Linked DNA regions of Cricetulus griseus. The protein of the gene in region 1 interacts with the protein of each later gene in a biochemical or structural test. Links are inferred from orthologs where the notes say so. Each region holds a gene or a part of one and is shown in the gene's direction. Other genes may lie near its edges. The genes, in order: Fga, Fam20c and Plat.

Evidence for each region.
Region 2: of the proteins of Fga (region 1) and Fam20c, one has a biochemical effect on the other in vitro, tested with the Homo sapiens proteins (2 studies listed by IntAct). The link is inferred for Cricetulus griseus from reciprocal best matches to the Homo sapiens genes FGA and FAM20C.
Region 3: the proteins of Fga (region 1) and Plat form a complex in vitro, tested with the Homo sapiens proteins (2 studies listed by BioGRID). The link is inferred for Cricetulus griseus from reciprocal best matches to the Homo sapiens genes FGA and PLAT.

What each region holds. Positions count from the first base shown.
Region 1 is NW_023276806.1:71,311,972-71,319,998, reverse strand, and holds the start of Fga (fibrinogen alpha chain), read left to right. Parts: upstream 1-3,901; coding exon 3,902-3,955; intron 3,956-6,006; coding exon 6,007-6,129; intron 6,130-6,558; coding exon 6,559-6,742; intron 6,743-7,656; coding exon 7,657-7,802; intron 7,803-8,027. UniProt on the Homo sapiens protein: Cleaved by the protease thrombin to yield monomers which, together with fibrinogen beta (FGB) and fibrinogen gamma (FGG), polymerize to form an insoluble fibrin matrix. Fibrin has a major function in hemostasis as one of the primary components of blood clots.
Region 2 is NC_048597.1:75,420,364-75,428,390, forward strand, and holds the start of Fam20c (extracellular serine/threonine protein kinase FAM20C), read left to right. Parts: upstream 1-3,907; coding exon 3,908-4,500; intron 4,501-6,161; coding exon 6,162-6,340; intron 6,341-8,027. UniProt on the Homo sapiens protein: Golgi serine/threonine protein kinase that phosphorylates secretory pathway proteins within Ser-x-Glu/pSer motifs and plays a key role in biomineralization of bones and teeth.
Region 3 is NW_023276807.1:60,916,086-60,923,210, reverse strand, and holds the end of Plat (tissue-type plasminogen activator), read left to right. Parts: coding exon 1-101; intron 102-1,392; coding exon 1,393-1,556; intron 1,557-2,772; coding exon 2,773-2,931; 3' UTR 2,932-3,669; downstream 3,670-7,125. UniProt on the Homo sapiens protein: Converts the abundant, but inactive, zymogen plasminogen to plasmin by hydrolyzing a single Arg-Val bond in plasminogen.

The sequences.
Region 1 (8,027 bases):
TCCATTTTAAGAAGTAAGGTATACTTATTCTGAATTAGGAATATTAAAAGGAAATGTAGGGCAAGAGAATCAAGCAATGTTAAAACAAACAAACAAAAATCACCCATTAGGTCTCCTCCCTTTCCTATGTGTGATTCATAATCATTTCTTTGTGTTTAAGGAAATTCCCATTTCCTTACTATTACTATAACTCCCAAGAATATCATCTGGATCCAGAGCATTGACAAGTTCTAAAACAAATGCCTTCTTCATCACTCCTACATGGGTCATCGTAACCTCATTGGCCTTTCTCAGTACATAGCAAGGCAAAAAACAAAGTTTTGTAGTAGGTGAGAAATACAGGAAGAAGCAGGTCAAACAAAGGCACGGAGCTAAGCACTGCTGAGCTCTTAGGTAAATCCTTACTAGAACCAGACTGATGTTGTAAAACCCAGGCCAACCTCCTGGATGCTTAGTCACAAAAGCCAAAATCTCCTGTTAGGGTCAGTCCAAAAATAGGAAGCGTTTTATACTTTCCAGTTGTTTTAGCCAAGTATCTCCTGGTAAAAAGTAAATGTACATATTCATATAGATTTTTATGATGCAGGATATGAATTCCCATCAAGCTTATAAATTCTTGCTTTTGGTTATTTGTAACTGGTAGAATGTTGCTAGCTGTAAAAAGGGATCTAAATCAAATATTTCCCACAGGACTAAGAAAAACAGCGTGAATTTCTAGGGAGAAAGCTATTAGAATTATGCCACAGAAAATTTCTCTGATTTATTTTTTTGCAGTTAGAAAACTATCCGTCTTGTCATATGCTCTTTGAAGTGATAACTATTGTGTTATTTGTACCCTGTGAACCTGCATGATTTTAATGTCACAGGAAGTGTGATATGGTAGAAAAACACCCCTGAATAATAAAGAACCAGGCCAAGGAGGCCCACCCAAGTGCCTATTTGAGGAACCTTGGACTAGAGAGAAAATGAGGACATTTTGATTACAGACTATTGGATCTTCTAGAACAATTAAAGGTGCCATTTCTAAGGATGCTGCTGCAATTGTTCGGTATCACTCTCCACCATCTGGTGCTGCTCTGCTGTCTAATGTGATAAAGTACCATGAAGAAAAGCAATGCAGGGCTGTGGGAAAGCACTTTAGGGTGGCTACTCCTCAGGTGAAGTGATCAGAGAAGGAAGAGGGAAAGGAGGAGTGGGGGGAAGTGAGGGGGGACAAGGAAAGAGGAGGAGAGGAGGAAGGGGAGGAGGAAGTGCCTTTTGAACACATGCTGGGATAGAGTTAGGAAGTGAGATATGCAGACACTCCAGGGGACCATGGAACAGCAAGGACACAGTCCTCAGGTGACATCCTTGGAAATGCTTCCACAGGCTCCACAATGATGGCTTTCAATGAAATTGTCTCTGTTAGTCTGCTTTCAGGAAGATTATTTATTTATTGTTATTTATTATTATTATTATTAATTTATTGTTTATTTACCTGAAAGGAGCTTCCTGCAGGCCTAGGGCAACTTTTGAGGGGGTTTCCTGTCCCTGTCGTGCCTGGCATTTTGATGATATAGTATCTGTGGGTGAATGTTTACCAGCTTCCCGAGGAATCACTGTTGTCTGGAATCTCAATGGGCTCTAGGATTTCCTCTGAGCTCTGAAGCTGACTTGAAAAAGCTGAGGAACTTGCCTCAGACATTGCCTCCAGGAGAGCTTTGATCTGTCTGTAGCAAGCTTCACATACCTGAGCTGCTCTGTTTGCAACAGAGGAACACATTCATGCTTGCTTGCTCAATGACGATCTGTACCTTTTTTGAGAAACTATAAAAACAAGCAAAATATTTTGATTTTTCAGTTTGTGATCTAGTGGAAAAGATAATTAATACCTCTATAGTTATAAAGGCCACAGTGATAACTCGTATAAGAAAAGATAAAGGAACAAGGGACTACATTTATTTGAGTATTAAAACAGGACTCCATAGAATGTCCCCCAAACACTTGGAGCTCAGTAAGCTAGGCACTCAATAAACATTAGTGACTGCTATTTCCAGGAGTGGCTTTACAGAGCAAGCAGGATCAGACTAAGTAGGACTGCTTGCCAGCCAATGGGATGCCCCGTTAAGTTTGAATTTCACAAGTATAGCAATAGCATTCCAGTAAGAGTATGTTCCAAATATTACAGAAGACATACATATATTGCAAAAGATACACTGTTTGTCTGTCTGAGATTCAAACTTAACTAGCCATTCTCAGTTTTTATTACTAAATATAACAAACTTAAGTCAAAGGCTTCTGTTAACTTTATTGAATCATGACTGATAGGTAAAAATTGTGAAATAATTCCCCTTTGAGATAATTAGCATATGTATTCACTCATTTGATTATCTTTTCCTTTCCTTCTTTTCTTATTTCCCCCATTTTTCATCTCCTCACCAATACTGTGGACCCATCTCCGGGTTCCCCATTTCAGGTTTCACACAGAAGTGAAATCATGTCTGTTTAGTTTCTTTGTTATTGTTTTGCTTAAAAGGAAGAAAAGAGAAATGCTGAGACATGAGACCATAAGACTATAAGTTTATTATAAGGCCCGTCAGAATGAGGAAACTAAGAAGAGGAACAGGGTAAATGACTGACCGCCAGGGCTGGTCACCATAGAGAGACAGAGCGGGGAGGGGGGGAAGAGAGAGGGGAACAGAGCATACAGAGAGAGTAAATGGGCAGGGGCCTATCTTTTAAAGGGGTCCTCTGCACCTGCGAGCAGACCTAGTTCCCATGGAACCTTGGGCTGACCAGGGTATTGCCTGTTCAACCAGGTAACAGGGGCAGGCCAGCATAATGCCTGAACCTTTCATTCTTTCACTTAGCATATTTCCCCAAAGACAGGTTTCTCTTCTTTTCACCAGCTGAACAATAATTTCTTGTATTTACCCTTTTCTTTATCCATTCATATATTGAGGGGTATTAAGCTGCTTCCCTAGTGTGTAATTGTGAATAATGCAGCAAAAATCTGTTCAAAATCCAGCTAGTGCTTTAGGGGGAGGATAGAAGTGGGTAGGTGGGTCATACGGCAGTTTTACTGAGAACTGGATATGGAGATGAAGAGCAAATGAAGAGAGTCCATGCCCAAAGACAAAAATGAGGAAAGAAAGAGCACTTTCCACAGCATTTCTGTTCTTCACTGATGGCTACCACTTACTACCAGGCAGTGGTGGTGACCACTACTCTGAAGGCCTTGAGATAATTCACCCATTAATTTATTAACATGTAGTAGGTTGCCATTGCCCTCATTCTTTAAATGAGGACACTGATTCACAAGGATGAAAAGTAAACTTCATACAAGCACAGAGCCAGGAAAATGGAGCTAGGATTGTGGAGGTAGGTGTTTGGCCCCAGTGGCTGCTGTTTTGACACTTGAATGGAGGAAAACCATCTGTTTAACATAAGCTTACTGTAAGCTTTCAAGTCGTTTTGAAAGTAGGATGAACTCTGAATCCTACACACACAGTCAAATGTCATTGGTTAAATCTCTCCTTCACAGAAGTGACAGCCAGAATGCCCTAGAAACCCTCACCTTCCTTTGGGTGTGGAAATGATTCATCTTTGTACCCTCAAAGTCCCCCCACTTCCTGGAATGTGGAATCTTCCCCCAACTGCTGGCTGCACAATCAAATGCTACCATTTGCAACAACTTATCAGAAGCAAACAAGCTACAGAGAATTGAGCAAGAATTTCCGGGATACCAACATTATGGTCAGAGCAAAGGATGCCATGTGAGCTTTGGCTCTTTGAGTAGGACAAAGGTGATGATTAACCCAGTCTCCTGCAGATTTAAGTAGGATGGGAGCTAAGAGTAGAGTCATTCCTCCTTTCTTTCAGCTGCAGTGCTCCTCATGAGCCATCCTCATACTAAGAAAAGATGCTTTCCCTGAAGGTCACCTGCCTCATCCTGAGTGTGGCCAGCACTGTCTGGGTATGTACTTTCTCTTCTGTCATTGTCTGGTATTTCTCCTACAAGTAGCTTTGAGTTTGGAGTCTACCAGGTCTATTACATTAGTTAGACTATTATATACCAGGTCTTCATTCTACCCTCTCTATAAATGCCAGGCCATGGAGGCAAATGCCTAGATAGGCTTGACAACTACACAGGGTCCTGTGATGTTGAGGAAGGCCATAGGAGGGCATAGTGAAAACATCATCAAGGGAACCTGACATCTGTCACACAGGCTGACTCATTTGTGAGATTTCATCTTCCAACATGGCACTTTTGTTTGTTATATGTTTTCATGGTGCTCGGGATCTATTTAGTGTCTGGGCATGACAGGAAAGCTTTCTACAGTGGAGCTACGTTGCCAGATTGCCAGCCTGGTGAATGTCCCCACACCTTTTTCCCTCTGAAGTCTGTAGACATCATACTAACAGAACAAATCATTTGGTAGGAATTGTTCTCTAACTTGTCATTTCTGGCTGTTTGTCTATGATAAACAGCATGTTTTAGGTTTGGTATAGCTGTTCTGTAGGTTTTCGTAATGTTGAGGACTGAGTCCAGAACTTTCTAGATGCTAACACACATTCTCCCATTGAGCTACATCCCCAGCCCTAAAGGTAGTTTTTCTATCTTTTTGAAGACATAAAATGTAAAAGGCAAATGTATTACCTTTGAAAACACACAGAAAATTCAGAAGGAGTTAGTTGTGAGGCAGTGTGTTCTTCGGAAAGATTTGTGCTTTTTTTTTGGATAATCTCTAAATACTGAAATAATTTCAAACTTAAAGACATATAAAATAAAGAAACCCAAAACAGCAGGGCTTTGGAAGCATTATAATTTATGAAACATGTCAATTATGTCCAAGAAACTCAGTAACACCCTACTTAGTTACCCAGGGTACATATTACTTTGGTTGCCTTCTTGGCTCACCATTCATACATCTTGAAATCAGAGAGTAAGAATAAAACATTTTTGTGGGAATAAAACTAAAATCACCAGCTAAGGTGATGTTTCTGGATAATTCATAGCTCTATTATTTTCCTTAACTCTTGTTGGTTTATTCAATTTCTGTCTGCTTTATTGTTGCATTATTTTATTCTGAAATGCAATTGAATTTACCATTATAGTTCTTATACAAAAGGATTCCACTTGTTCTTTTAAATGAATTGTTCATTCCTTTAATTATGATAATTAGGGTTATTTGAATTTTCACAAATGAGAATGAGACTGCATTGACTTAATTATAGGATGAACTACCCCAAACTAGTGACAGTAAAACTCTTGGAAGTTAGTAGTACAGACTGAAAACAATGAAAGCCTAAAAGCCATGTTCATCCATTAAACCATGAATTCTTGTTGAACAAAATGTTTTTTAGTTCATCTGGCTTATAGCTGAGAATTTTTAACCCTGTATTTCTAATTATAAGGTGTTCAATAATTGGTAGTTGCTGACTACTGCTTTAACTGTTTATTATTTTCATTTTGAATGGAAATCTACAATTGCATGATTGTAGTTCAAAACACTGCCAAGTTTTAACTTCCTACACTTGTGTTCTTGATAAATGCTTGTCTGAATCATGGACCATCTCCAAAGGTTACCATAGAAACCTGATAAAGAAAGGGAGAACAAGTGCAAGAGGACAGACATGCAGAAAGAAGACTTACAGGAGAAAGAACTATAATTTTTCATCTATGGCCATGAAAGGAAAGAAAATGATGAAATTTAACTGATTTTGTTAATCCAGATCATTTTTTTTGTTTTAAACCCCTGACATTTAGCAGGTGCTTATTGAGCATCAATACAATTTTAAAAACAGTTCACAGCCTGTGTCTCCTTTACAGCTCATAATGACTCTGTAGAATAAGTAGAATTTTCATTTAATTGTCAGAAGATGACAGGCTGAGGAGGCAGACGGCTTTGACTTTTACCTCTGCTTTTTCTTCCTTGGGCATGTGGACATCATTAATGTTTCCATAAACAACATCATAATGGCTAACATTGCTGCCTCTGCTCCTTTTTGGATGTTTCCTTGAAGGCCTCAGACACTGGGGGTGAATTTATAGAAGAAGGAGCAACAGGGCGTGGCCCAAGAGTTGTGGAGAAACAGCAGAGCCAATGCAGAGAGACAGACTGGCCCTTCTGCTCTGACGAAGATTGGGTAAGCAGAGAGTATGGTGAGCAGGGTTCCTTCCTTGTGGGACAAATAGCTACAGGCTCACTAAGTGAGTTCTGGAAACCTTTCCCCATCAGAGATAATGTAAGGGTAACCTAGCTCCTTACATGCCAAATTAGAGAGAGAAAATAGAAAGAAAATTAGTCCTAAAGCATTATCTAGTTATCTCTAGTGGGATAAACAAACTGGATGCCTGAATAGTGGGACTTGAAAATTCCCAGATCCTTGAGCAAGACTAAGTGGACCTTCATTCTGGAATTTCCCTATGGCCTCTTTACTAGTCCTTCGAGCTACTTTTAAGTTAGTGGATACTTGGAAGAGCTGGGGAGGGGAAGCTTCAGGTAATGTTTTAACAAAACTTACTAGTAGCTAAGAGAGAGACCTTTCATATAATCCCCTGTCCTTCATTTTCAGAACCACAAATGCCCTTCTGGCTGCAGGATGCAAGGGCTGATTGATGAAGTCAATCGAGATTTTATCAACAGAATAAACAAGCTTAAAAACTCACTATTTGATTTTCAAAAGAACAACAAGGATTCTAATTCGCTGACCAGGAATATTATGGAGTATTTGAGAGGAGACTTCGCCAATGCCAACAGTGAGTAGTACATATTTGGTTCTCAGACTTTCTAGCAAAAACAAGAACAAAAATCCCCAATGATAACATTTTCCTTCAGCTACTGTGATTTCCATTCCAAAGTACTCAGCATGGAAGCCACTTAAATTGAAGGTGGTGTACATCATTTCCACAATCAGAGAAGTTAGCTTAGATTTTTAACTTCCCATATATTGAAAGTAAGGAGAGGTAGACCATTCAAGTAGATACTCTGCTTGTGGCCTACAGACGAGGAAAGGAGTCTCAGAGGTCAAGGGACTTCTCAAAGTCACAAGGTAAACATCTGCTCCAGATTCTGCTGAGCCAATTATATACTAAGATTTGAAACACAGGACCATGCTCAGTCTTCCCCTGGGACTTACCAGGGCTAGGAAGTACTGTGGTCACTCTAAGCACGGAGAGCAAGTCCATGGGAGTCCCAGTTCTTGTGGCCTTGTTTGCCTCCTTCTGTCTTTATGAAACACAGAAAAATGTAATATCAACGGTGCAGCACTAGCTGGCAGGTGACTGATCCTGGTAATGCCCAAAATGTTTAGAAATGATTTCAAAGTTCCAGGTGGAATGAAAATCTCAACAGAAATATCTAATAATAGATTCAAGTCCCTTGAATGAAGTTTCAATCAAATCAAACTCACTACTTACAGAACCTCAGTTTTAAAACTCCAAAGTATTTTCTTCCGGATTTCTAGTCACGAGTGGGACAGTTTGACTAATACCCACGGATGGCTTTTGTATGGAACAACCCAATTAAGCCTGAAACTTGCAGATTGCACATCCAGAGAACAGACTATAAAGAAGTAAAGTGTGGAAATATTTATAAGCAATTTCCTTTGGTGGGGAGGAGGTTAAGCAAATCAGTCTGCAGCCAGTTGAATACACTGAATTTTCTGTTTCAGACTTTGATAACACATATGGCCAAGTGTCAGAAGAGCTGAGACGCAGAATTGAGGTCCTGAAGCGAAAAGTTGTAGAAAAAGCACAACAAATTCAAGTTCTGCAGAACAATGTCAGGACTCAGCTGATAGACATGAAGCGCCTGGAGGTAGGCATGAGACCCTGGCACCAACCACTTTGTCTTTGACTAAGAAAGAAAAGGAAGACACTAGTCTTCTGAGTGTCAACTAAGTTCATTATCACCCAAAATAAAAGTGTCTCCCGCCACAGAGGAGAAGACAGAAGTACAGAGATGTGAAGGAAATTCTTGAAGGGAAAACAGTATATTTCAGAAGAACACTCTCTCCAGTCTGCCCACCACATGCTGACACCT
Region 2 (8,027 bases), on another chromosome or scaffold:
TAATTGTTATGCTTGTGTGATTTCGGGTTGTTTTTTATGGTGTTTCCTTGAGCCAAGTTTTCCTTGATACGTTAGTAGCTCTGGCTGTCCTGGAACTTCCTCTTACCTCAGTCTCCCCAGTACTACTACCAAGCCTGTATCCCCAAACCCTCTTTGGCTACTGGATTGGTTCCTTGGAGTCCTGTTTCTCAGAATCCTTGAACCACACTGGGGAAAGGATGTCTCAGATGCTAACCAATGGGATGGTCAGTGGCCTTGCATGAGCTGTCAGTCATGCCTGAATCCTCCTCCCATAGTTCCTCAGACTCGGCCTAGGGAACACAGATCCCACTGAGGTCTTATTTCCCCTGAGAACTTTGACTAGATCTGCAGGGTGAACCCAATACCAGGGCCTGTTTCCCCAGTAGTTGTGAGACTTGTGAGTAAGGAAACCTCAAAGAGAGAGATACCAGCGCCCTGTGAGTGCAGGGCTGTGTGGCCCAATGTCCCCTCTCTACTGCCAGCTGAGAAGTTCCAAGCCCTACCAGGGTGGGGAGTCCAGGGGACAGGACAGATCTTGGATTGCACTTCTCCCCTTCTCCAGGAAGGGGTCCTGGGCCTATCTGGACTGTCGTCTACCTGTTTGATAGGAATGTTTGATATCCCACAACTGGTCTCAGTGAGCCTGGGAGAACAATGAACTCTGCATGTGGACAGTGCATCCTACTGGCCAGAACTCACTGTACACTAAAACTTCCTAGCCCAACTCTCTTCCCTGTGCTACGGTGCCGTCTGTGCCTGGATAGCCTAGATCTTCCCATGGCCTGCCTCACTTGAGACATAATTCACTGTTTGGCAGTCACCTGTGGGCCTCCCAAGAGACCACCTTGCCCTCACACACACACTGTCACTGCCTCAGTCTCCCTCTTGCCCTCACTCACACCCCTCACCCAACACAAGCTCTGTGAGTCTCCTTGCTCTGGTGTGCCCCAGGGCCTTTGCATAGGAATCCTTGCATGAGTACCATTGCAGACTGCCAAGAGGGTCATTCCCATGTGCTGTCTCAGGGGCTTCTATGCCACCCTAATAAAATGCTCTAGAGCCACCTCCTAGGTTCTGGCAGGGGCTGCATGCCATCATCAAGGTCCTCCGTGGGCAGCGCCACCTAGCCTGGTGGGGCATGTGCACAGACAGCCATAAGGTAGAGGCTTTATGAGGTTCTGTTTCCTTTAGAGTGTGTGTGTGTGTGTGTGTGTGTGTGTGTGTATGTGTGTGTGTGTGTGTATGTGTTCCCATGTTTGTATCTGTGTGTCACCTGGGTTTGTATGCCCATGTCTGTGTATGTCTATGTGCACCTGTGTGTCTGTGTATCACTGTTTTTCCTTGGGTTTCCCATGTGTCACCTGTGTCTATGTGTCTGAATCAGTATGTCTGTGTGCAATTGTGTGCTTGTGTATCTATGTCATTGTTTTCCCTTGTGTTTCCCCATGTGTGTCATCTGTGAGTGTCTGTGTTAAATTCCTCCTCAGCTCAGAGTAGCTGGGGCACAGTGTGTCATGCCTTCCTCTGTAGGAGGACTGTGCCTTCAGAGACCTCTTCTGCATGAGTCACCTTGACCTTCCTGGGGCCTCTGGGTGGAGCCATGAGAGCTAAATCTCTTCGGAGACCCTCCAAGAAGTGCATGCATCTTGGGGAGAGGAAGGGCAGAGAGTAACTAAAGGGAAGCCTGTTAGTAGACAGCAGCAACAGGTGTTGCTGCAAAAAAAAAAAAAACAGCAGGCAGGCCCACTGCATACACAGGCTACTACATCCTACTTCCCTACAGTAGGAGCCAGAGAGCCAGGAATTCCCTGAGGGAACCACACAGCTGTAGTGAATGGAGTATCCAGGACACCAGGAGAAACCAGGGAGGCCCTCACACTGGTGCCCCCATTCCTCTGCCCTGAGGACATTCACCTATCCCCAGAGGTCCTAGGTTGGGGTGCTTCCTTCCAGAGACCTCAGGACCACCAACCACCAACTTTCCCATTCTGGAATTGATCTACACAAACTCATTGTCCGTGTGAGTGGAAGGAAAGCTGAATGCAGTGTCTCAATTTCCTTGGTGTAAGCCATACCTTCCTGGGGGTGCACTTCTGTTTAGGCCCCACCCACTGCACTCTTGGCGTTTCCCCTATGTAGTCCAGCACAGGCATCAGCTCCTGTTACAGGAGTATGGAACACACCACCTCTCTCCCTTTCTAATGGCCTAGGAGGCACTTTTGCTGACCAGCTAGCTGGCTGCGACCCTCTTCCTCACTAACAAGAAGCTAGTGGGCAACTTCTGAATATCGGCTACCACAGACTCATCGTTGAATCTTCAGAAATACCATATGCTGTGCACTCGATTCACAGAGATCTCAGGCTCACTCCGAGCATTAGAGGGCCTGGGAGCACAGCCAGGAGAGCATGACAAAGAGGGGCTCCCAGCGGACAGGCTCCGCCCCTCGGTCCCTTACAGAGGCAGCTGGGTTGGGCTGGTGTGGCAATCTGCAGGTGCTTGAAGCCGGGAGCTCAGCCTGTGCATCTGTGTGTGACCCTCTCCCGCTTACCTTCCCAGAATTTTAGGCGGAAATTCCCATGGATTTCTATTTCCTACTGGGGGCTGGGGACCAGAAGCCTCGTGGCGACAGATGAGACCACGTGGTAGAAGCAGATCTCCCCAAAATGTGCACCCCGATTTAGCATCCCAGAGGGCAGGCAGCGAGACGCGCCCCGCCCACCGCCCGCGCATCCAAGCCTCTCAGCCAGACCGGGCGCGGCGCTGCCAGGGTTAAGGCGCAGGCGTGTCCCCTGGGGTGGGGTGGGCCCGGCAGTCTTGCCGCGATTCTGGCGTCCCCTCGGATTGGGGCTCAACGCGCTCCCCCGCCGTTTTCTCCGCCGCGTGGCAACGTCGCCCCTTCGTCCTCCACTTAGCCAGCTGCGGGGACCGAGGTGCCAGGACACCGCCCGGAGGGGAGCTCGTCCGGCCGCGCAGACGCCCCGCGGGCTCCGGGGAGGGACTTGGCCTGCTTTCTGGCCTCCACTCGCCGGGGAGGAGCCGCTCGGTTGCAGCGGGCGGCGCGCAGAGCTTCGGGGACGCAGGCGACCAGGCCGACAGCCGTGCGCGCAAAGCCAGAGCCCGCTTTGGCTGCGGGCTCCCGGCCGGGCCTCTGGAGCTCCAGGCTCAGCACCGAGGAGGCGCGACGACACCGCGGGGCGCGGCCGAGGGGAGGAGAGAGCGGAGAGCGGGCGAGCGCCGCCGGCCGGCGGGCCGCGGCTCCGCCAATCTGCGGGCGCTGACGCGGGGGGCGGCTCCGCGGCGCTCGGATATCAGCGGGCCAGGCGCGGGGCGACTGGAGCTCCGCCGTGTGGGCGCTGCGCTCCGGGTCGGCCCGCTGCACCTGCCAGATCGCGGCTTCGCCCCGCGCGCCCCCGCGCGCTCCCCTTCTCGACCCTGTCTCTCCAGCCCGGCCTCCTAGCCGCAGCCTGACGGAGGAGCTGCCTTGTCCCCCGCCCAGCACCCAGAGTGGCCCAGCGGGAGCATTGCCCTCTGGATAGGATCCGTCGCGCCTCGGCCGGGGATGAATAGCCGCGCCTTCTGCCTACACACCCAATGAGTGTGGTCGCCGTCCCAGAGACCCTCGTCCGCTGCTGTGTTCCCTGTCATCACTGCCACCAGCTCCACCGACCAGGGCCGCTGGATGCCCCCCGAGATGGCCTGGAGAGCCGGTGCTTTTGTGGCGGGTGTCCTCCACGACGTCCGAGCCTGGGGACAGCCCCCGAGCTGGTAGCTGCTCGTACGCTGAATGGACCTTGACCCGTGAGTCGTTGCCGGCTTGGTGCCAAGCTGAGGGGCACCGGTGGAGCGCGCGTCCGGAACCCCCCGAGCCCGCTGGCCTGCGTGGCCATGAAGATGATCCTGGTGCGCAGGTTTCGAGTGCTCATCCTGGTGGTGTTCTTACTGGCTTGCGCTTTGCACATTGCTGTTGATCTGCTACCCAAGCTGGACCGGCGCGCTGCGCGATCCTCCGGGGAGCCCGGCTGCTCCTGCGCTCAGCCGGCGGCAGAGGCAGCTGGCCCAGGCTGGGCCCAGGCGAGGAGCCGCCCGGGAGAGTCCGCCGGTGGCGACGCAGGCTGGCCCAACAAACACACACTGCGCATCCTGCAAGACTTCAGCTCAGATCCAGCCTCTAACCTAACCTCCCACTCTTTGGAGAAACTGCCTCCCGCAGCGGAGCCAGTTGATCATACTCCACCGAGTCAGGAGCCGGGCTCCCCGCCACCCCGTGACCCTGCGCATCGGCCGCTACTTCGAGACCCTGGGCCCCGGCCACGGGTACCGCCCCCTGGCCCCAGCGGGGACCGATCGCTCTTAGCCAAGTTGTTTGAGCACCCACTCTACCAGGGGGCTGTGCCTCCTCTTACAGAGGACGACGTCCTGTTTAATGTGAACAGCGACATCAGGTTTAACCCCAAGGCAGCAGCAGAGAATCCAGACTGGTGAGCAGAGAATGGGAGGCTGGGGTGGGGCTGGCGCGCCCGACCCTTCCGGGAATAAAGACACCCCCTTAGAAAGCTATTTTACAGGCCAAGCATTTTGTGTATCGTTGGGGACCCTGAGAGGAGGCTGGGTAGGGACGCCTGGTGGGCGGGGCAGATGCGCTTCTTGCTCTGGGCCCTGCCTTTGTCTCCACAATGATTTCCTAGGGAGAAGGGCTGATGGGGTTTGGGAGGCCCCCAGTACCCTGGTGTGGGAGGCTGGCGGTCCACCAGGAACCAGGGGAGCCCAGTGCTCCACCTACAAGGAAGCATGCTGGCCAGCCCTGGCGATGGCTGAGGAAGCAGATGAATGAATATGTTGGGAAAGCCAGCCAGGGAGAGTGGGAGCTGCCTTCCCCTGGGAGGGGCTGGGCTGCTCTGGCTCTGAGACCGATGGGTGAGCTGTTCGGGGTGGGCACCTCCAGAAATCCTGAATGTACCTAATAAGTCTTTTAAACCCAGTCACTGGGGACGAAAGCAGCTGAGAAGTGATGTTGGCAGTGTCGAGGCCTCCTGGCAAGGGTGTGAACCAGGGCCACCCTGACTAGCTGTGGGGAGGAAGATGAGCCATCCTGGAGTTACCTTCCAGGCTGTCCAGATTTGTGCCCACCCCCACCCCCACAGCTGCACAGATCCAAATAAGCCCAGCAGAGTGAAATATTAACCAACAGCTGGCTAGAGCAAATAACCTGCAAAGGTTCCCGAGCAGCAGAGAGAGAGCACGAGCCACCCGTCCAAAACAGCCTCAGAAATCCTTTCCCCCCCTGGAATGTGACCAGGCCCTGTGCCCTGAGCCTGCACATATGAGCTCTTTGGTGGCTTCTGGGCTGTACTGGCCAGAAACCATCCAGCAGAGGCAGCGGAAAGAGTGGCCAGGGTGTGGCTTCTTGGAGGACCCCAGTCCTCCTTTTGCTTCTAGTGTAGGACAATCTGGAGTTGAAGGATCCTCACCTGTCAGTGAAGCAGAGCTAAAGCGGCCCTTCTTTCCCTCCAGCCTAGCAGGCTCCCAGAGGGTCTGTTCTTCTTCGAGACAACCCCATGGCCAGAGAAAGCAGGCAGCAGGTCTTCCCTCTGAACCTGGGCTGGAGTGACTGATTCCTCCGTCCAGCTCTCCCCACCTATGGCTTCACTCATTAAAATCAAATTTAGCCCCTTGCATCATCCCTGCCCCTAGTCTTTGGAACAAAGGCAGCAAGCTGGAGACGTTTCTGGCTGGCTGGGTGTGCCTACAACTTCTAGGCTGTCTGGTCCCAGGAAAAGCTGACAGTCCCTTCCCACACACTCCCAGCTGACATCATTGTTATGGGGGCACTTTTGGTGACCCCAGGACAGAAGTGTTGGGATAGCGCTGACACTCTGGGTCTAGGCCAGTGGTAGTTAGGGTTGTCTGTGGCGTCTCTAGAAGGTAAATAGGAATTACAGGCCTTAAGGTGTGTTATTAGGTGGTGGAACCGCAGCCGGGGAGGAAAGTGCAGACATGGCAGTGTGAAGGCAGCTTTTAGTGAACCTGTACTTTGAACCCAAAGTCGCAAGCCCTGACCCTCAGGACCAGCTCCCCAACATTCCTCCGCCTCTTGCCTCTCTTTTAACACTTGACTACAGCCTGCCTTCATTCCTTGCAGGCCACATGAAGGTGCTGAAGGAGCAGAATTCTTGCCTACTGGTGAGGCAGCGGTGGACCTCTATCCTAACTGGCTCAAATTCCACATCGGCATCAACCGGTATGAGCTGTACTCCAGACACAACCCGGCCATCGATGCCTTATTGCAGGACCTTGGCTCTCAGAAGATCACCAGTGTCGGTAGGTAGCCACCTGCTTGCCCTTGGTGCAAATGTACCTTGGTGTGGATGTACCAGGGCTGTGTGAAGCTGGCTTCTTTTCAGGTCGCTCACTGACAAAGGAGCCACTCTTTCTAGGGTATCTAGATGACCACCTTGGTAATCCAGGAGCCAGATGGATGCCTCAAGGCTCATTGCTGGAAAGTGAGGGTCACCACTTTGACCCCTGGTAGAGTTATATATGAAGACATATGGGCCCTCCCTCCCCTGTAAAAAAAAAAAAAAAAAATGACCTGGTGACCCATAGTGGCTGCAGCACCTCCTGCCAACATCTATGCATGGGCCATCTTTGTCCCTCCTGCAGGGGCAGCTAAATTGCATGGTTTAGCAAGGGCCTGAAGTTCTGAGCCTGTTCCCTTCAGAGTTCAGTAGGGGCCCAGGATCTCACCAGGTCAAAGGAGGAACAAGTTGAAGCCTGAGTATCCTGGATGGAGCAGTTTAAAAGGAACATCTCTGGGTTTTCGTGATCTAATAAGCCAAAAAAAAAAAAAATCCTGTTTTCAATTTCAGGAAAACAGAACATCAGGGGCAGTTTCTGAGCAGGTTTGGGGGTTGTTATCAGGTTGTGAGTGATCGATAGTCACTGTGGCTCAAGAGGTGGCATAGGACAGGCTGAGGGCTGGGGCTGTGCAGGGGTGGCCCTGGTGTGCCCAGTTGCATGTGCTTGGGTAGCCTGCCATGTGTCTTGAAAGCAGATCTGCTAACAGGCTCCCTCCGGTTATGGGCTTTGGGCCAATTGCTGACATGGAGCAGTTAGAAGCTGCCTGCCTGCGGCAACCACCTCTTTAGAGGTGTCTGGGGCTCTGCTGATCTGTGTGCTGGGCTCTTGCCTGGTCAAAAAAGCCAGGACCCACAGTTTCCCCCAGGGTTTGGTCAGATCACTTAGTGAAAAAGAGCAAGCTAGTGGTCTTCCACCATCCCTCCTCCTGCCAGGGAGGTCTGAATGCATCCCCACCTGACCCTGCCATGCCCCTTGTGGATTCAGGATGAGTGGGGAATAGTCCTTGTTAACACAAGGACTTTGTTATAAAGGAGCCACAATCCATGCCCTTTCTCTTTGGAGTATAATGTAACTGTTAAAGAAATACCCAAGCTGGGCATAAAGGTGAAGCCTGTCATCTAGCTATGCAGGAGGCTGAGACAGGAAAATCAAAAGGCCAAGGCCAACCTGGGTAACTTAACAAGACCCTTTTTAAGACAGAAACTGAAAAGAGGACTGGGAGTGTAGCTTAGTAGTAAAATCCCGCACAGAAGGACCTGGGGGGTGGCTCAGTGGTAGAGCACCTGCCTAGAATCCCCCAGTGAGGGTCTGGGGATGTGGCTTAGTAGGAGAGCATCTGCTAGAATCTTCCAGTAAGGGACTAGAGTTGTGGCCCTCTGAAAGAGCACCTGCCTAGAATCCTCCAATGAGGGGCTGAGAACATGGCTCAGTGGGGAAGCAATTTCCTAGCAAGTGAAAGGACCTGGTGAGACCAGCTTTCAGAGGTACCGCTGCCTCTGTGGACCATTCAGCTGAGGAGTACGGGACATGTACAACAATGAAGAGGGTGGCATCCTTAGTGTGCAAAATCAAGCCTAGGATGGTTGAGTGCTAAGTGATCCCCACAGCTGGCCAGCCACTTGCAGGTGCTTCAATTTATTATTCCCTA
Region 3 (7,125 bases), on another chromosome or scaffold:
GGAGAGCAGCTCTGTCAGCACCGCTTGCCTTCCTGACCCCAAGCTGCAGCTTCCTGACTGGACAGAGTGCGAGCTGTCTGGCTATGGCAAGCATGAGGAATGTAAGTGGAAGGAAGTCTTGGTTCCAACCTTATCTATCATGTGGCAGATGGAGGGGAAGTGGTCGCACAATGTTCTGGTCCCAAATGTGGCATGACACGGAAAAACTCAGGTGGAACTCTGCCTGTCTGTATGATGAGAAGCTGCTATCTGCTTCCTTGCATTATGGGGACACTGTGTGTTGGTCACAGGAATTTGGGACAGGCAAGTGCTCTGAAAAGCTTTGTAGTCCAGCGGAGATAGAGAGGGAGGGTGTAAAGGTATGTGTGTTCTTAGACACTGGAGTTGTATAAGTTGAGTTTGTCTCCCAAACTTGCCTCTGGCTTAGCTGTGGGGCCCTGACTGTGTCACTCAGCTTTCTAATGAGGCCAACGAACACGAGATAAATTAACCTAAAGATAGGAAAGCTTTGCTTGTGCTCATGGCTTTGGAAGTTTCAGACCACGGTCAGTTGGCCCAGTCTGTGGGTCTGTGGCAAAGCAATACATCGTAGGAGGTGCCTACAGCCATGGAAATGTGTACCTCGGAGTAACACACAAGCAAAGGGAGAAAAGGGAGAGTCTGGGTCTCAACTCTCTGCCCAACTGTAACTTCCTTCTCCCAGAGCCACTTCCTAAAAGCTCTACCATCTCCAAAGAGCACCACAGGCCTAGCCTTCAGCACACTGGCCTTTGAGGGAATGATTATTCAAGCCGGATGTGTATTTGTGTTACTTAATGAATGGGGTCTCATGGTGTTTCCTACAGTGGTTTCCAACTTGCAATTGCAGTGTCCCAGGATTATAGTGGACCATTAGATTGACCTTAAACACTTTTTAATTTCTTTTAATTACTGAAGCCTCTGTTTCCTCACTGCCAAAGTAGAAACAGGGCAAGCACCCTGATTAAATTATAAGAAGTAAATAATAGAACGCCTGATTAAATCAATGGCTCTCTCTTGGGGTGATTTCACCACCCAGGCCACGATTGGTAGTGTCTGGAATCATTGTGGCCAAGGTGTCACATGTCTGGCAGAAGGCTGATCCTAGCCTTTGGTTAGGAGAGGCTGCCATACATCTGTGGTATACAGGACACTCTTCATGATGGATAACTATCTCGCTTAACTGTCAGTAGTGCTACTGAGAAATGTGACCTCACCCTAGAGAACTGCTGGAGGTCAAAATGGTGAAACGTAGGTCATGTCTTACGTAAAAACCTGATTTAGGTTAACTGTTACTGGAAAATTCAGCTTTCTCTTTCCAAAAGGTTTGGAAGAGATGTCTCCACCCTGAGACATCTGTGCCTTTTCTTTCAGCATCTCCTTTCTTCTCTGATCGGCTGAAGGAAGCCCATGTTAGGCTGTACCCACCGAGCCGCTGTACTTCACAGAATTTGTTTAATAAAACCATCACAAACAATATGCTGTGTGCTGGAGACACCCGAAGTGGAGGCAACCAAAATGTCCATGATGCATGCCAGGTAAACTCGATGGATGTCCCAAGGGCAGGGGGAGTGAGAGCCATGGTGGAGGGTGTGACACTGGGATTCAAAAGTGGAGCTTCGAAGAAGAAAACGACAGAGAAAGGCCAAAGCTCCTTAAATTTAAAACATCTCAATGGCAGCACATTTTCCGGGTTTGTGGCAGGAAACTCCACCTAGTGCAGGATTTCCCTGTAAGTCCCATTGAAATGACAGGTAAAACAACATAATTAAATCTTTGCCTTCTGAAGGTGTTGGAGAACTTGGGCCTGCTTTGCAGGACAAGAAAAGGCATCCCCTTGGGATGCAAGACAAGGATAGGAGGTTGAGAAAGAGTTTCCAAAGTTTAGCTTCAGTTGGGGAAGCAAGGCATTTTAGGTTCTGAGTCCTCACTGGACTTGGAATTCCCATTTCCTGATTACTAAGGAGCTAGGAGGCAAGTACAGAACAACAGCTGACATTGAGACCCAAGTGGTAACCAGCACAGAACAACCGTTGACATTAAGACCCAGATGGTAAACACCTGATTTAAAAAAAAAAGTGAATCATAGTTCACTGAGGCGATACAACTAATTAGTAGAAGAGTCCAAATCAGATTTTTTTTTAAGAGATAAATCTCATTATGTAGTCCTGGCTGGCATGGAACTCTATGTAGAAGAGGCTGGCCTCAGATTCACCGAGAGCTACCTGTCTCTCCCTCCTAAGTGTTAGGGTTAAAGGTGTGCACCACCACGATACCCACTCAAATCAGCTTTTATAAAGCTTGAGAAGTTTTTCTGTTTGTTTCCTGGGTGCTAAGAATGGAGCTCTTGGCTTTTTAACTGCTCTACTGCTAAGCCATACCCCAGCTCTGAACAGTTATCTTAAGTCTGTGTGTTTTGTTTTTTAGTGGATATTTATTTATTTTGAGGCAGAGTCTCATTCATTGTGTGGTCCTGAGTGGCATGGAACCCTATTTGTAGACCATGCTGGCCTTGAACTCAGGAATTCACCTCCTTCTGCCTTTTGAATGCGGGGATTAAAGGCATGTGCCACCATGCCAGGCTCTTAATGCTGCTCTACCAGAATTTAGATACAGCCTAATCTATAGCCTCAAGTCTCCCTCCCTGAACAAAGTTCTTTGAGGGCTACGATCCTCATACTACAAATAGCAATGGAAATTTGCTTCCAAACACTCTGCCATACATACAAACAACTAATCTGTGCTCTTCCACAGGGTGACTCGGGAGGACCACTGGTGTGTATGGTCAATAAACACATGACCTTGGTTGGCATCATCAGCTGGGGCATTGGCTGTGGGCAGAAGGATGTCCCTGGAGTATATACCAAGGTTACTAATTACCTAGACTGGATTCAAGACAACATGAAGCAATGACAAAGACAACCCAGCTCCTTGGATCTGGAGGAGGCCCTGCCTTCCTCTTCTATAGAAGACACACCCAAAAGGCCAAGTGTCCTTTACACTATCATCTTTAGATACTGCTCCTCAGCAGAGGGTTGGAGAGTCTGTAGGAGAGGATATAGCATTTATTTGTGACAGGTACTTCACAATTTGCATGTTTTCAGGGACGAAGGTCTGATTTTTAGAATAAAATCTGTCTGATGAGAAGATGGGAAAATGCCAACCCTCCCACAACTCTGGGATTTAAAAGAAGGGTAGACCAAAGTCCACCCTCCTGGGCCACCATTTTGTACTCTGGACCACAAGACAAAAGATCATGTCTCAACAGTAAAGCCCAGGTTAATCTTTCAGAAGAGAAAGTTTGCATTAGGGATAAGAATGTATATTTATAGTTACAGGAGGGCCCAGCAGGGCCTTTAAGAGACATAAATGTTGGCTGGCTAGATCATAGCCCTATAAGACCTTTGAAATCAAATATTCTCCACCCGCTTCCCACTCCTCAACTCTTGGGAGGTATTCCTTTGTATACAGTGTAAATCTTCTTTTTTTCTTTATAAACTTTATAGATAGTTGAGAGAACTATTTGATTTTAATAATTGAAGTAGCATTAGCATATTTATATATTAATCTATTTTAGTTTTTACCATAACTCTGTATTATATATACTGTACTTAAATAATAAATCCAGAGGTATTTTTCACACTTTTCAAATGGTGTGTATCCATGGCTTATTTGTGTTCACATTCTTTTTTCTTTTGAGTCAGTTGAAAGACTTCCTTTCATTCAGTCAACATGTGGAAATCCTGCTTACCCCCAAGGCAATATGCCAGGTGCCACCAACAGTAGAAATGGGGTGGGGTGAGTTGGCACGGACAAGACGCATTCACAGAAGTAAAGTAGAATGGAGCTGGTCCCAGCACAGCAGAGACCTCATTGGACCTCAGTTGTGAAAGTGGGAAGGGACCATCAGGAAAAGTAGGATTCATAAGGGTTTTCACACAATGGTAAGACGGCGTTAGTAGACAGTTGCAGTCAGGCAAGTCTTGAGACCCAGAATTTCCCTATTGTGACAACAAAGACTTGGCGGCCTAAGAGGCAATAGAGTACAGGGGATGAGCAACAGTTTTTATTGAATGTGGGGGACAGCAGTTGTCCGAGTCCCTGGTGCATGTGTGAAGGTCAGAGGATACCCACAGGAGTTGGTTCTTTGCTTCCACCATATGGATCCTGGGGGTTAGACTCAGGTTATCCAACTTAGTGGCAGGCACCTGCAAACACAGAGCTGGGGATTGAATTTAGGACTTTGGGTGTGCTAAAGAAGTACTCCACTACTGAGCTAGGTATGTCCCCAACCTCACCTGAACTTGATCAGGATTGTAGATTGGATGCTAAGGACTCTGAAAGCCAAAATGAGTGTTTTTCTCCAAGAGGTGATAAATGAAGATGCATCTGGAAAATCAACCACACTTTGACCACAGACTGAGCAGACAGTCGCATGACTCTGTGGACAGTAATTACAGCAACACAGACCAGAAAAACCCCAAACCATCTCTTACTAACATAGCAACGGCTCAACTGATGGCTCACACTAAATGCTACTAACTGGATTGCTTTTTTCCCTCTTCATTCTGTTTTGTTTTCTGCTCCTCAGAAACAGTTATCTCACAGACCAGTGCACACAAGTATGCAGCTTGTGACCTACTGCTCTAGTAACTCCTTTAGTGTGCGTGATGTGGGTCTGGGGGTGTGTCCATACACAGCGCAGGTGTAAAGGTCAGGGGACAACTTTCAGAAGTCATTTCTCCCCTTCCACCATAGGTTGGAGGATCAAGCTACAGGCGCTCTTTGAAAACTGACCTCTTGCTGGCCCTTGCACACTGTCTTACCAGTCATAGAATAAACCTCTCTCCATTGTCTCCAGCTTTCTTCACCACATCTTAGTTCCAAGAATCTCTCATGATGTAATGCTTGCTCTCGGGTGTGGCTGGGTAAAAAAAAATTTTTTTGAAAGAAAGGCCTTTCTTATCTCTTGAGGGTTTGTCAGTACTGCCCTGTTGGAGACTCTTAGAAGAAAAATAGTGTAAACTCACAAAAGAACTTGATGAGGGAGGTGTTGGGAGGTTTCCCGAAATCTATGAAGTCCCCAGACCAGTTCCATCAATATGAATCAGAGACTAAGTCACATATTTCTTGACTTCAGACAAGTCTGCCTTTAGGGTTTGATCTAAGATTTTAGGCAGAAATACATCTCATCCCATTCCAACACAGCTTGAGCCCAGTAGTAAGCAAGGCCCCCACCCCAGTCCTGCGGAGCTGAGCAGCTGGCTTCACCCCTCCCCCACTGAACAAGATTTTCTTCAGACACTAGGGTTAGTGAGATGAAACTGAAGCCGAAAAGCCTTCTGGGATGGGAATACAAAGTCAAAAGGCCCCAACATTCCTGAGTGGAGTCCTGGAAACCATACACAAATGAAGACAATTGCTGACTCTTATGGAGCAGTGTCCAACAAGACAGTCCTATGAATCACACCAAAGGGTCAGAATAGCACATCCCTCCCTGCCCAGGATTGGTTAAGGAATGCAGGGTGCGATGTCTGGAATTCACCAGAGGAAGGGAATGAGTCAAATGGAAAGTAAATGTTGCCCCATTATTCCTGGCTGATTAATAAAAGAGGCCAACAGAACTAAAGAGCAAGTATGGTCCCAGGTAACTGTATGGGTTGCTGTTGTTGTTAAAGAGCAGAGGAACACAGAGCCCTGGTCCTGGCCCCCCAGAGCCCAGCCCTGTACATCAATCACAAAGTGTTAGAGACTTTCAACTCCATATACAAAAGCTGAACACACATTCCTTGATATTTAAGACCTGCTTGGGTTTCTCATTAAATTTCCTTTTTAAAGCCATTAACAATTAGAAACAGTATTGATGGCATCTAGTTACCACCTACTGGCATAAAAGGAAATATAAGTAGATAACATTTCCTGCTGCCAATGCCCCCCCACCCCCCGCCAACCATCCAGACTGAGGCAAGAATACAACAGTCAGTCCTGATCTGGAGGGAACATGCTCCAAGGCCCCAGTGGGTGTCTGAAGACAGACAGCACCTACCCCTACAAAGTCTGTTTCTCCTCCATGTTGTATCCTACAACCAGATTCAGTAAGGCATTAGTGATACTATTGGCAGAGTAGAACCAGTTAGACAGGTGTCTCTTGTCCCAGGGGATCCCTAAGTCCCCATGCAGACTCAGTTCAGCTCAGCAGGGAGGGACAGCAGCGATCAGAAGACTATTTTCTTCACATCTCCCCCAAAGACACTGATGCCTTTGCCATTCACCTCCAAGGCACTGCAGTGTCAGAGCCAAATTGTACTCATTTTCTCCTGCTTAAAGTTTCCGTTAGAAGTATTGTTCTTGCTGAGAGTTCAGCAAACTTCACATAGATTGTTTTTCTTACTGGGAACTTTGAATTTCTCGTGGAGAAGAAGCATTCTCTTTCAACTTTCTTGGTTTTCCTTTGACCTCTCCAGACCTCCTTGGCACTACTATTCTGTGAGTGAGGGTTCCGTGAACACAAAGAGTATGATAGTAAGAGAACTGATTGGGAGTGAAGACGGTCCTTAATGACCAGAAAGCAGTGTAGGCACTGGGCAATGCAAGATTTGTGTCCAGGGAAAGACAGCATCTGATAGGGTGGGATGGATGGAAGTCAGTTAAAGACTTCATCAGGCTACTCGGGATGGTACACAACTTGGATGTTACCCTTTCCTGGAATTTCTCATTTCATATTCTCAGAAAAGTGGGGAGGGTACCATACTAGAGGCTGTCAGAGGAGCCACAATCTGGTTCCATCAATAAAGGTGCTTACAACCAAGCCCGAAGACTTGAGTTTAGTTCTCCGGACTCACACAATGGAAGGAGAGTGCTGACTCCCACAAGCTCTCCTTTGATTCCCACATGCAGGCTGTGGCTTATACAAACCCCATCCCCTTCCACAGACACAGACATACATATGCAAGCTTAATATCTCAGAGAAACAGAAACTGAACTCTTAAACGAGCACCATATATTTCCAGGGAGTCAACAGAAATCTGTAGAAAATCAGTTTGAAAATGTGACTACATGTTGATATTGACAGGCAGCAATAGACCCTGCTGTGTGGTGGCTTGAATG